3 linked regions of the Caenorhabditis elegans genome follow. The protein of the gene in region 1 purifies or fractionates together with the protein of each later gene. This does not show direct contact. Each region holds a gene or a part of one and is shown in the gene's direction. Other genes may lie near its edges.

Evidence for each region.
Region 2: the proteins of K12H4.7 (region 1) and hrg-11.2 fractionate together in Caenorhabditis elegans (co-fractionation; one large-scale study listed by BioGRID). This does not show direct contact.
Region 3: the proteins of K12H4.7 (region 1) and F42A10.6 fractionate together in Caenorhabditis elegans (co-fractionation; one large-scale study listed by BioGRID). This does not show direct contact.

What each region holds. Positions count from the first base shown.
Region 1 is NC_003281.10:8,047,817-8,053,010, reverse strand, and holds K12H4.7 (Putative serine protease K12H4.7), read left to right. Parts: upstream 1-1,929; 5' UTR 1,930-1,970; coding exon 1,971-2,001; intron 2,002-2,517; coding exon 2,518-2,621; intron 2,622-2,669; coding exon 2,670-2,871; intron 2,872-2,914; coding exon 2,915-3,005; intron 3,006-3,050; coding exon 3,051-3,286; intron 3,287-3,333; coding exon 3,334-3,469; intron 3,470-3,735; coding exon 3,736-4,355; intron 4,356-4,404; coding exon 4,405-4,517; 3' UTR 4,518-4,561; downstream 4,562-5,194. Other genes in the region: mals-1 (Mitochondrial Assembly of ribosomal Large Subunit), read right to left, coding at 4,631-4,756, 4,801-4,962, 5,014-5,194.
Region 2 is NC_003284.9:3,232,318-3,237,317, reverse strand, and holds the start of hrg-11.2 (C-type LECtin), read left to right. Parts: upstream 1-1,909; 5' UTR 1,910-1,911; coding exon 1,912-2,091; intron 2,092-2,136; coding exon 2,137-2,248; intron 2,249-2,297; coding exon 2,298-2,920; intron 2,921-2,964; coding exon 2,965-3,025; intron 3,026-3,070; coding exon 3,071-3,241; intron 3,242-3,385; coding exon 3,386-3,457; intron 3,458-3,500; coding exon 3,501-3,692; intron 3,693-3,783; coding exon 3,784-3,901; intron 3,902-3,956; coding exon 3,957-4,077; intron 4,078-4,130; coding exon 4,131-4,274; intron 4,275-4,318; coding exon 4,319-5,000. Other genes in the region: Protein irg-7, read left to right, coding at 1-181, 243-399, 443-588, 635-718, 763-1,079, 1,123-1,326, 1,374-1,407.
Region 3 is NC_003281.10:6,175,530-6,178,497, reverse strand, and holds F42A10.6 (MD-2-related lipid-recognition domain-containing protein), read left to right. Parts: upstream 1-1,636; coding exon 1,637-1,787; intron 1,788-1,834; coding exon 1,835-2,000; intron 2,001-2,045; coding exon 2,046-2,160; intron 2,161-2,205; coding exon 2,206-2,304; 3' UTR 2,305-2,341; downstream 2,342-2,968. Other genes in the region: F42A10.7 (MD-2-related lipid-recognition domain-containing protein), read left to right, coding at 1-173, 273-483; abcf-3 (ABC transporter domain-containing protein), read right to left, coding at 2,446-2,686, 2,787-2,968.

The sequences.
Region 1 (5,194 bases):
CCTTCGGTAAGTGTTCATAAAACAATTATTTTGTCAAAAATTTTCCAGCAACTTATACAATAGTAGATAATTATGAAAATTGAGAAATCACGTGATATCCAACTCTCTTAGTCTCAATGCAGCAACAAATAAAAATTCTCATCAACCACCGTAACCAACTATTTTTATTATCTCAAATCCCAAGTTCCCATACCATTAAAACTCGAGACTGTGCACATAATTGGATTGGATACTTGTGAAAAACTGAGTTGTATCTTACACATTCCACTCTTTCTGTTTTGGACAAAAAAATAGTGGGAAATTTATGTTTGAATAGAATTCGATAAATACATGTGTGTGGATTTTTTCGAAATTGGAAAATATTTAGTTTGATATTTTGTAATCATTTTCACAATTTTTTAACACGTTAAAAAACAAAAAAAAAGAATATTAAAAACCAAAACCAAATGAAGAAAAATCTGTACGAATAGAAAAGTTGCATAACACCCAAGAATAATAATAATTGGCTAAAGATGGAGAATTTAATAGTTGCGTGACGGCGGAACAAAACTAGATGACCATTTAGACGGTTACTCAATATATTTAATTGCACTTTTTATGAAGATGCTATGGTTTTTCAATGTTTTTTCTCTTTTTGAACTGTCTCGTATTGCAAGTTATGGCTAACGGAATCGAAAGTTTGAAAGAAAAAGGAAAATGGAAGATTCTTGATGTTTGCTAATATATCGTATTCTCTAAGGATTCCAACAAGAAATGCATCACGTTCACAGTTTGGAAATACAAGTTCTACCGTATTCTACCATAATTTCATTTCTCAAGCATTTTTTTTCCAAATTTCAATGTATAAAAAAGACACAACGCAAGACTTGCATCAACACCCAGGTGGTCTCTAACTGCCCTTTTTTTCACTTTTTTACCTCGAGAATTTTGGGAAAAAAAGTTGAAGGAGTGTCAAGACACATCTTTGGTTATGTAACTATTGCGTAATCGAGACTTTAGGCAGCATTCACGTAATTTGGAAATTTAGAATTAAATTCAATATGTAGAAATAAACGTTTGAAAGCTAGCAAATTATAGAGGGAAATAATATTTTTAGAGTTTAGATTTCTGTGAGAATTCTTGACAAATTTTTAGCACCTACGATCGTGATGAGAAATCAAATCAATAAAAATTGGAACTTGCGAGAACATAGCGAGACCTTAATTCACCAATTTTGAACAAATGTCTCGATTTAAAACTTGAAAAACGGAGTATTGAATAGATGAGCACCTACCTCTCATCTCCTCAACCGGGAGGCGTGATGTGGCTAGTGTTTGCGAACAACGGAAAAGAAATAAGATTGAAGAAGGTAGAATAGAAGAAGAAGTCAAGTGAGAGCAGGTAAAACAGTTCAGTGCACATATTTATGGAAAATGATGGAATGGAGAAACGGAATTTTAAAAAAATTTGAAATGATGACTGGCTTGTTGCAAGTGTTTTTCGAAGAATACCGTATTTCCTCTATTAGTAATTTATTTATTCAACCAACTTTTCCTTTTATTTTCTTCCATATCCTGACAGAAAATGCTTAGGTATGATGTTATGAATATGGAAATTTTATTTTTGAAAAGATTATATTCAATTTGATAGTTCCAGTAAACAATTAAACGTTTCGAATTCCAACTTTTTATTGATCTTTGCAGTTTCTCTGAAATTGGCTTTGTTATTTTATTTTTCAAACTTTGGCCCAGTATTCCTGTAAACTAAGAACCCAGTTTGCAAGTACGTCAGTCTAAAAGATGATTTAGTATTTCGAATGTAGTTGTGCCACGAATCAGTAAAATCATCATTTAAATGTGATAGCGAAAACGGAATTGAACTCGCAAATCAGCGATAAATTATTTGATAAGGAAAAGTGTATAAGTGGGTGCTTATCAACTGAAAACTCTTGCTTTATTTCACTTTTTCTTTTTATTCTAGAAAGTGGAAACATGAAGACTCTTTTGGCAGTGCTACTGGCAGGTAAATTTAATTTTAAACATCGTTTTAGAATTTCTGTAGCTACTTTCTCTTTGAGGAGCTTAAAAGTGAAGTTGCCCAGATTCAATGCCAGTTCCGTAAATTTCATGAGTCGTTTTTTTCTAAAATTCGTGACCATTAGGCTATATGGCCAGAACATATTTTTATTACTCAAAATCTAAAAAAACAAATTATGAAGTCTCACATATTTTTCTGGAAATAAGGAATCTGGAAACTGTTTTCGACGGGAATATACTCTATCTAGACCTAGATCTAGTCTAGCCAATGTTCTCAAATGTTGTATTGTTGAATCTTTCAAAAGAATTTTCTACTAATCTTTACAACGAAATACACAAAATTTATAATTCGTGGATTCATTTTTATCGAGACGAGCAACTGTCTAAAAACTAAGGTTTCAAAACTGATAACATTATTTACCATCGAATTAATAAATTTTAAGTTCAGTTCTATGTTTACCATAGTTTCTGTAGTTTCACACTGAATAACTTAACATTTCAGCATGTGTGCTGACCCAGGTATTGTCTGCTCCAAGCAATGAGCAGCGTGTTCGTCGTAACATGATCCGTGGACGTCCACGTGGAGGAATGAAGAAGACTCCACCAGTAAGTGTTCAAACATCCAATGTACAGAACAAAAAAAGTCTATTCCAGATGTCTTCCGTTTCTCATATGATCAACTTTGACAATGTAGTCTCATCTACTTTCACTCAAACTCTTGATCATTTTGATTCTTCCGTCGGAAAGACTTTCCAGCAGAGATATTATCATAACAACCAATGGTACAAGGCTGGAGGACCAGCTTTCTTGATGCTTGGAGGAGAAGGACCAGAGTCTAGTTATTGGGTTTCTTATCGTTAGTTTACTTTTTTATCATACAAGACATTTTATTTTTAAAGCTGGACTTGAAATCACCAACTTGGCTGCCAAACAAGGAGCCTGGGTCTTTGATATTGAGCACAGATTCTATGGAGAGACTCACCCAACCAGGTATTTCTTTTTACGAAATAACTCCCTATTATTAATGTTTTCCAGCGACATGTCCGTACCAAACCTGAAATACTTGTCTTCTGCCCAAGCTATTGAGGATGCCGCCGCTTTCATTAAGGCAATGACCGCCAAGTTCCCACAATTGGCCAATGCCAAGTGGGTCACTTTCGGAGGATCCTACTCTGGAGCTTTGGCCGCATGGACTCGTGCAAAGCATCCAGAATTGGTGTATGCTGCTGTTGGATCCAGTGGTCCAGTTCAAGCCGAGGTTGACTTCAAAGGTTAAAAAGATACGCAGCAATTTACTTCCAATTACTTTCTATTTCAGAGTATCTTGAGGTTGTACAAAACTCAATTACCCGTAACTCAACTGAGTGTGCCGCCAGTGTGACCCAAGGATTCAACTTGGTTGCTTCTCTTCTTCAAACTTCCGATGGACGCAAACAATTGAAAACTGCTTTCCAGTGAGTTTATTATGATGTATGCTTACTAGTTAGCCAAAGCCAAAAACCTCGAGTGAACCTTCTGTATTCCCCCCATTCCTGCGCGTTTCAAACTGAATTAACCGCTCTAACTTTTTTGAAACTTTTCTCTGGAAGTTCCAGTCTCTACATAGTTCCTTTGTCAGCTATTCTAGTCACAAATGTTTTGAGAAGTGCGTATAACTTGGCGTGTTCATTCAATGCGTCAAATTGAAATATATATTGTAAAATAAGCAACAATTTTTCAGTCTCTGCCAAGACATTCAAATGGACGATAAATCACTCAAGTATTTCTGGGAAACAGTATATTCTCCATACATGGAGGTTGTTCAATATTCTGGTGATGCCGCTGGATCGTTTGCCACTCAACTCACAATTTCTCATGCCATTTGCCGTTATCACATTAACACTAAATCAACACCACTTCAGAAATTGAAACAAGTCAATGACTATTTTAACCAAGTCAGTGGATATTTCGGATGCAATGATATTGATTACAATGGTTTCATTTCTTTCATGAAAGATGAAACATTCGGAGAGGCTCAATCTGACAGAGCATGGGTTTGGCAGACTTGCACTGAGTTCGGATATTATCAATCAACTTCATCAGCTACTGCTGGACCATGGTTCGGAGGTGTAAGCAATCTTCCAGCTCAATATTATATTGATGAATGTACTGCTATCTATGGAGCTGCATACAATAGTCAAGAAGTTCAGACATCTGTAGATTACACTAATCAATATTATGGAGGAAGAGATAATTTGAACACTGACAGAATTCTTCTACCAAATGGAGATATTGATCCATGGCATGCACTTGGAAAATTGACAAGCTCGAACAGCAATATTGTGCCAGTTGTGATCAATGGTAATCTTGAACTTTATGTACAAAAATAGTATAATTACATTAATTCCAGGAACCGCCCATTGTGCTGACATGTACGGAGCATCCAGCTTGGATAGTATGTACTTGACAAACGCCCGCCAAAGAATCTCGGATGTTCTTGATGGATGGCTTCATGCTAATTAATTGTTATGGATTTTATGTTATAGAAATGAAAATTTGACTCTAATATTTCATATCAACGATATTACAAAAATAATAACAATAATCTAAATGTTATAAATAACAAAAGGAAAACATTATCGTCTCGGTGGCAGCAAAATCTTCTGTTTCTCCTCATCAATCTCGTCTAAGATCCGATCATCGCCAGCCCAAATTGCTTCCAAATCGTACTTCTCACGGCATTCTTCACTCATTACGTGCACCTGAAGTATAGGCATTAAAAAATATAATATGTAGGAAGTAATACCTGAACTCTTTCCACCTCACTGACATACCATCCATTGCTTCGTTTTGTGCTCCTTCGTGCATGTGACATGGATCCATTCGACACTCCGTCAATTTTTAGAAGAGATCGAAGATTTTCAGAAATTGCTGAAGCTTGTCGCGAATTGAATGCTGAGCAAATTATCTGAAAATATGAGATTAATTTTCTCCTTACTGAATTACGAGGATTAATTACCTTATGTGTATACGGTGTCATTTCTGTTTCTTCTGATTTTACAACAAATACATCTTTTGCTCTTTGATCAGTCAAAGCTCCGACCACATTCTCTACAAAATCAGCGTCTTCTGACAAATTCTGGCTTCTGAATCCTGTCCGTTTTGGAGGTTCTTGACTTGTTTCGTGACTGGAAATGATT
Region 2 (5,000 bases), on another chromosome or scaffold:
CTCGATGCCAAACCCAATCGGAGGAAAGCCTGATCCACTTGGTTCACATCAGGATGGACGTTTCGTACAACCAACAGCTGGTTTTGACAATGTCGCTGTTTTCCATCTTGCTGGCAATCCATTCCACAGAGGACAATTGCAGTATGTAGAAATCTTCGATATTGGAGCTAACTCAATCACAGTAAGCAACATTAAAATTGTCCCTTCACAAGAGAATAAACTCAGAAGTGATAAAATTTCAGAACATTCTCCGATCAGAGCTCTACGTTCGAGCAGGCTGCTCTTACGAGTACTACTCTGATTTGTTCACTTGCAACGGCGACATGATTGCCGTCTATGTTCATGGAGTTGATGAAGCAAACCAAAAGTTCAGAAGACAAGAAATTGTCATCTGCAATGGTAATATACGCTTACTTGTTTAATTGTGCAAGAAATTTTTCAGGACGTAGCCCAACAACCAACCAGCCAGCAACAGGAACAATTGGCCCAATCACCATGCCAACTCAACAAACCGCGCTGACTCAAGGTCCAGTAACTCAGCAAACTCAAGTCCCAGGAACTCAACCAACTCAGGGACCAGTCGCCACGGTAAATTTCAAGTATTACTGGTGATTTAGAAATTCTGAACTTACAGACCCAAAATCCATACACATCCGCTCAGTTTGATGTTGTATTTATGATCGATGGATCACAAAGTGCACAATCCAGCTTTGACTCGGTATACATTATATGCCCTTTATGTTTCCATCATATGAATTTCAGCTCACCAAATTTGTTCAAACATTCATGGTTTCGTTCAATGTTGGCCAGAGTGGAGCTCGTGTTGGATTAATTGTCGTCGGAGGTGATATCACAAACCCAATTCCTCCTGCTGCCAATCTGAACTCCCTCTCCTCTCAAGCAATGTTGAACTCTAACTTGGCCCAACTCAGCGGTGGCTACACTGACTTTGAAGACGCCGGGCAAATTCTTAACTACACTCTTCAAATTGTGTCTTCTCCCGATTTCATGGCGGCGAACAATGGTTACCGTAGTGGCATTAGCAACCATGTGTTGATCTACCTTACTACAACTACTGCGTAAGTGTTCAAAAGATTGCCAGATAAAATTAATATTTTTTAGCTTCGACACCGATCCAACTCCGGCAGCTCAGACAATTCTCGCGCAGAAGCAATACGGAATCATCACTATTGGTTATGGTGGCGCGACTGATAACAACAAGTTGCAAACTATTTCCGGAGGAAGTGCTTGCTCGTTTACAGCTCCAGATTTTGCTAGTTTGAATAACCAAATTAAGACCATTCAGCAACTTATCCTCAATGCCAAGTAAGATATATAAGTGTGTTCATTAAGTGAAATGTTCTTATTTTCAGCGCCAATGGAGGTGTCTACTGTATCAACAACTAAGGCAGTCGACCCGGAAATCACTGAAATAATTTGAATTTTAATAAACTTATCATTATTTAACAATTTATGTGTTGGACCGAAAAATCAAAATTACGAGAGAAAAAATATAATACAAAAGTGAAATGTGATGGCAATTCAATAAACTTTACTAGTGGTTGAACTTCAAGTCGAAATCATCAGAAAGTGCTTGATAATAATTTGATGATACAAAATCGTATTCTGTGACATTATTCTGCTACTACTCAATTAGAATGCAAAGGGCGTGGAATAAATTTTAATACTGTTTGAGATGGCAAAGATAAGAGTTTGCCACGGTGATATGACGTGCCGGACACACTCTCCTTTTGCGATTAAAAAGGGTTTAAATCATTATTTCATGATAATTTCATTAGATTTGCCAGGCTGCTCCTGCCTTTTCACATTCATTTTCAGAACTCAATACCTTTTACGATATTTAGTTTTTTTGGAGTTTAAGAGCAATTAAATTAATGTGAAATTTCAGTAATGAGAAGCTGGGTTTTGATTGCGGCGTTAGCCGTGATCTGCCTGGGCGCTGAGCCTGAGCTCAGTCACAAAGAGAGAATCCGCAAAGTCTTAAAGTCATGGAACCCGGCCAACAGTAATCAACTCTTCCACCCAGTCAGTGAACAGAAGATTCAATTCGATGAGCAGTCCGATCTCTTTGTAAGTTCTAGATTTCGTTTAACTATGTTCCATATATGGTTTCAGGTTGATACTCATCATATCTCCAAAAGATCTATCGCCGAGCCTCATGTTTTTGCTGGAATGGCCACCAGAGGATGTAACAAGCCAGGATACACAGGAGCCACCTGTCAATATCGTAAGTCGGATCACATATGTGTTTTTAAACTAAAAATGCAATTTCTTAGCATTGTGCTCTGCTCGCAATCCTTACATTCCTGATAACAAGGATTCTGACGATATCTCTATTGATGCAACAAATCTTGCAAACTGCAGTCAAACATACGTCGTTGTTGTTGATGAGACCATGCGGAATATCAAAATTGAGGTCGAAACTGAGTCACCATTGAATCCAACTTTCTACCTCCAATCTGAGAGTGGAGATCTGATCTTCCCTGACACTGACAGAAAAACCGTAACTTCCTATGTGGCAACATATGAGACTTTAGCGCCAGGCCAGTATCTTCTCGGACCAAGAGCTGATTCTGGAGATGAATTTTGTACTATGATGATGACCGCTCATACCAATATTCAAGTTACTGGAGGTTTTACATCAGGCGATCAACCAGAGCGCAGCGACTATCCAACCCTCAAGTTTGCCTATTTTGACACTGAATCAGCTGTTGTTCTTCATGCACAAGGACTACACTTTCCCGGTCAAATTCAGGCGATTGGATTCACTGGCGCCGAGAACCATATCTCAAGATACATTCCTATGGCAACTCGCTTCAATTGTACTTATCCATATATTTTGGAGAGGTATACTTGCAGAAAAATTGGAAATAACGATATTGGGCACAATTTATTACAGGTAAGTGCAATGAATTGATATAAATTGCAATCATAAAAGTTCAGGTTGAAGGAATGAGCGATAACGGATACGTTTTCCGTCGTATTCTGCCCTACCAATGTATTTGTAAGTGAACGTAGTTGACAACAATAATCAACCTGAGTAATTTAGTGCCACCAGTGTCTACCACCACTGTCCCTGCTCCAACAACAACCGCTGCTCCATTGACAACCTGCCAGAACGGAGGTCAAGTTTTGAAGGATTCCAGTGGTTCACCATACTGTTACTGTTTTGGACTATACACCGGACGTGACTGTTCTCAGATGTTGTGTGCTAATGGAGGTGAATACTGTAACTAGAGCTGTTAAATAGAAAACGCTATGTTGCCATTGATGTGCTACATGGTTGATAACACAAAGACAACCTTCTAAAAAGGACACTTTTTTGAGCCAGCCTAAATTGGTCATCAAATATTTTATTTTTCAGGATTCCTTCCAACTCCCACAAGCGAACATTGTGAATGTCCAGAAGGATTCACCGGTTTCCACTGTCAAAATAGTAAGTCGCCTCGGAAAATAAACTGATCACAAATGCATTACAGTTGTCTGCCCTGGTGCATCCGGAATTGATTTCAATGCTGAAAACCCGACTGTTACTCTGGTCATTCGTTCTAGAAGCCAATTGTCAGATGTTATTCAACAGGCCACAAATTCAGTTTCAAGAATTGTCGATGAACTATCTGCCGAGCCTGGCTATCTCACTAATTTCATCGTTGTGCTCTTTGATAACGCCAGTGAGTTGATTTGCAACTAATTTACCGGGGTGGCTCCCATAAGCCTACCTTCTTATCAGGAAACGGTAATGCATTATATTTTAATTTTTAGAGCTTTTGGTAAACCAGAGATATGACTCATGGGATGCCGCTATGGTTGATCTACTTAAAGCGATTAACTCTGCCCCATCCGACGGTGGATGTGATGATGTTGTTTTCTCTGCTGTTGCGTAAGTATCGACTAGTTTTTCAATGTTTTACAGAATCTTCATGGTTGTTTTACAGATCTGCTCTTTCTCTTTATCCAACTAACAAATCACCAATCTATGTAATCACTGATGCCAATCCAAATGATAGCACTGAGAAGCAAACAATTGTACACTTGGAATCTTATTGGAGAGCACCAGTATGGAAAATTTATTAAATTTAAAGTTATTCGAAAATACCAGAATGTTTCAGGTCTACTTCATTTACGTGCAACCAGCAATTGGAAGTGGCTGCAATACTTCACCCGATAGTGCTGGGTACAGAGATATGGTCGATATGGCTGCGATGTCCAGCGGAAACACGTTCTACTTTAACAACAGAACCACTATCTCCAACGTATGTTTCTTTAATTCTTTAATATTAATGCATTATATTTTAAGTTCTTCTACGTTCATATGTACAACACGTTGTTCCGCTCTCAACTTGCTCTATCTGGAGATTACTCTCACTGTGCTAATCAAAACATCTACAAATCGGTTGCAGTTGACGTGACTGCTGATCAAGTTGTCGTTGTTGCTACAGGATCTAACTTGAAACTTCAAGTCACAACCCCAACCGGAGCACACCCTGACTTCTTTGTTGCATTCAATGATGGTGTTAACTACATTTGGACCTCCAACCAAATCTTCGCTGGACAATGGTTCTTCAATTTGGTTTCCGACTCACCAAACTCTGCGTGTACCTTCAAAGTATACCAGAAGAAGTATAACCTTGGTGGAATGAGCCAATACAATCCAGACTATGACATTTTCTGGTCTTTCGCAACTACCCTCACTTCTGCAGCCGGAGTTCTCCGCCAACCAGTTGCTGGTTTTGATGCTTCTCCTGTTTTCCATGTTTCCAACTACCCCGAATTCATTTCTATGGACCGCGTGCACGCCAATCTTCAGATTTATGCTATCCGCGACGGAGTTCAAACAGAGGTTTACGGATCAAGTGGAATGTACAGAGATGCTTGTGAATTCCACTTCTACTTCCCACCATTCATCTGTAATGTCCCCGATGAAGTTCTTTACTTCAACTTCTTCGCTCGTGATAACAATGATATGGCTCTCCAACGTG
Region 3 (2,968 bases), 1.9 Mb from region 1:
GGAAAACAATACGAGTACCCAATTCATTTGAGTCAGCCAATTGTTGTCAAGACTCAAATCAATAACCCAACGAGCACATATGTGTCGCCAAATCTTCGTAACACCGTCAATATCTGGAAGTATGGAGGATGGAACGGATGCACATGGAGCTCAATCCCAACTCTCGGTCTTTTGTAAGTTTATATCTTTAAGTTAATTCTAATGGATTAGAATGGGTGAACTGTTTAGGCTATTCTCGACTTCTAAATAATAAATAACGATTCATCTTCCAGGAAGGACCTTGACGCCTGCGCAAACGGAGTCCCATGCCCAGTCCGTCCAGGAAACCAAGAACTTGACGTCATCATTGACTTCACCAAGTTCGACCAAATCATCGCCTTACTCAAGGACAATCAGCCATATCAACTCGAGTACATCCTTCACGACAACCAATCCGGAGACACCTCATGCATGATGGTCCAGGCTTGGGCCTTCCTTAAGTAAAATGCTTTCCCATTTGGCGATTGGCTTTAAGATTTCTAATTATATTTGCACTATAACACGGGCGTATATTTTAACAACAATAAAATGTACATAATCTTGACTTTTTGTTGGTTTTTGTTCATTATCAATTTGAAGGAAAAATTTCCGAAATCGAACTAAAGTTGCGATAACATTTTGATAAAAAAGAACTATTCGCACTGGAAAATGTTGCATATTTGCCATTTTGGCAATGAACCAAAAATCAAACAAGTAAACAAGGAATCAGAAATTATTAATAATTTCCCGATTCAGTTATAGTTTGAAAACTGAGAAATTTCAATAAGTACCTAAAGTTGGAAGTATGAAGAATACGTGCTTGCACAGGTTTTTTAAAACTTTGTCTTTCCTTCAATTCATCGGATTTAATGATCAAAATAGAAGAAGAATATAAAAATCGCATAGACGTCAAAAATGAAAATTTTCTTCATATCTTATGAGTACAACGAGTTACTTTACCACGCGTCAATTTCTTAGGCCTCCATTGTATCATAATTTTATTTTAAAAAGCTTGGAATCAGTTATTCATTGTATTAGAAAAACATGGTGCAGTAGCGGCCTTCATATTGACACGTGTTACAGTAACCCGCTTTCCGCGTGGCGAGACCCATTTGCGTAAATTATGACGGAAACTCTCATCTTCTGACGTCTACGTAATATTAAGACGCTGATAAAGCTAAAGTTGCTGAACAAAGTAATGAAAAATAAAAATGTATGGTACCCAAGTTTTAAAGGCGCATAGCACGAGTGAGCAAAATTTTCAATCGTGGCGAGACTTCGAAAGGTGCATTTCTCAGGAATACTCAATATACATATGAAATTTTTTCAATGAAAATGAGTACTTCCTGTGGATATTTCCGGTTCTCTGTGACCTCTTTTTTATTCTAGAATCACAATTACATGCAAAAAACTATTAAAACGCGTGGTTTCTTCAAATTGCCATGTGCTTTGATATTTCTCTTATCGTAGTTTTTCCTATCGAATTTGATGATCATTTTGCAATTTAGTTTTCCATTTTCTCAAATTTCCCAGTTAACCAATTACAGATTCACTATTTTATTCCAACTTAGATCACATCCACTAGCTTTCGAAACGAAAAATTCTACTTCAATTCCAGATGCTTGCTCGTTGTCTGTGTCTCTTCGCCCTACTTGCTCTCTCGTCGGCATGCGATCAATGGCCGAATACTACAGAGACAAAGGTCAACTGGTGGCAATGCTCAAATGGACCAGTTATGGTGACCAATGTTAATCCAACTGATAAGAGTGGTTCGCAAGTTTTCTGATAGTTTCTACGAATGTATAATTGAATCCAGGTAACAGTGAATATCCAATCCGTCTTACTGAACCACTTCTCATTGCAACATCCATCAATGATCCATCCTCAACTTATACTACTCCTGGACTTAAACAAACTATCAAGGTCTGGTCATGGAATATGGCTACTTGTGGATGGTCTTCAGTACCAACTTTTGGACTTTTGTAAGATTTTTGCTTCTTACAGTAACCTACAGTAACCTTTTCCAGGAACAACATCGATGCTTGTACCAACGGAGTACCATGCCCAATTGAACCGAAAAACAAGGTCATCAATTTGGAACTCGACTTCTCTGATACTCCAGCTATCATCAATCTTCTCAAGGTTATTTTGATGTGTATTCTTCGAAAGTTAAACCCCCAATTTCAGAACGATAAGCCTTACCAACTCGAGTATCTTCTTCATGATGACCCGAGCAAGGAAGACCTTTGCATTATTTTCCAGGCTAGAGCTCTCACTCATACTTAAATTTTGAAGTGAACAATTTAATAAAGCAATAAACTTTTTTCTCAACAAAAATTATAAATTGAATTCTTAAATAGTGTAACAAAACGTGGAAACTGGGTGAAATATGGGAAACAACCGAATGCGAAACAAAACAGGAAAAATTTAGGCAGTGAGTTGAAGCTGCTTGTAGACTTGCTTTCTGTATTCTTCGAGTCCTCCCTCCAAAGTTGTCACCATTCGATCCTTCACAACCCAAAGTTCCTTGCACACAAGCTCGATGAGTTGCTCGTCGTGAGAAACTAAAACGACACCTCCATTGAAAACATTAAGCGCTTTTCCAAGAGCTTCAACCGTTTCGACATCCAAGTGATTAGTAGGCTCGTCAAGAATCAAGTAGTTTGGCCTGAAAAATACTATGAATTAGACGGAGTTTGAATAAATTTTTTTTTCTAGGAAAAAATGAATATTTTTTGAAAATGTTGCTATTTTCAAGCAAAACTCACTGCATCAAGGCTAAATTAGCAAATGCCAATCGAGACTTTTGACCTCCAGAAAGTGTCTCAACAGATTGCAAAGCCATATCACCAGCTAATCCAAATCTTCCCAAAGCTGCTCGATAATCTTCTTGAGTCTTTCCAGGATGATTCTTCATCAACACCTCAATAGCTGATGTTTCCATATCCAA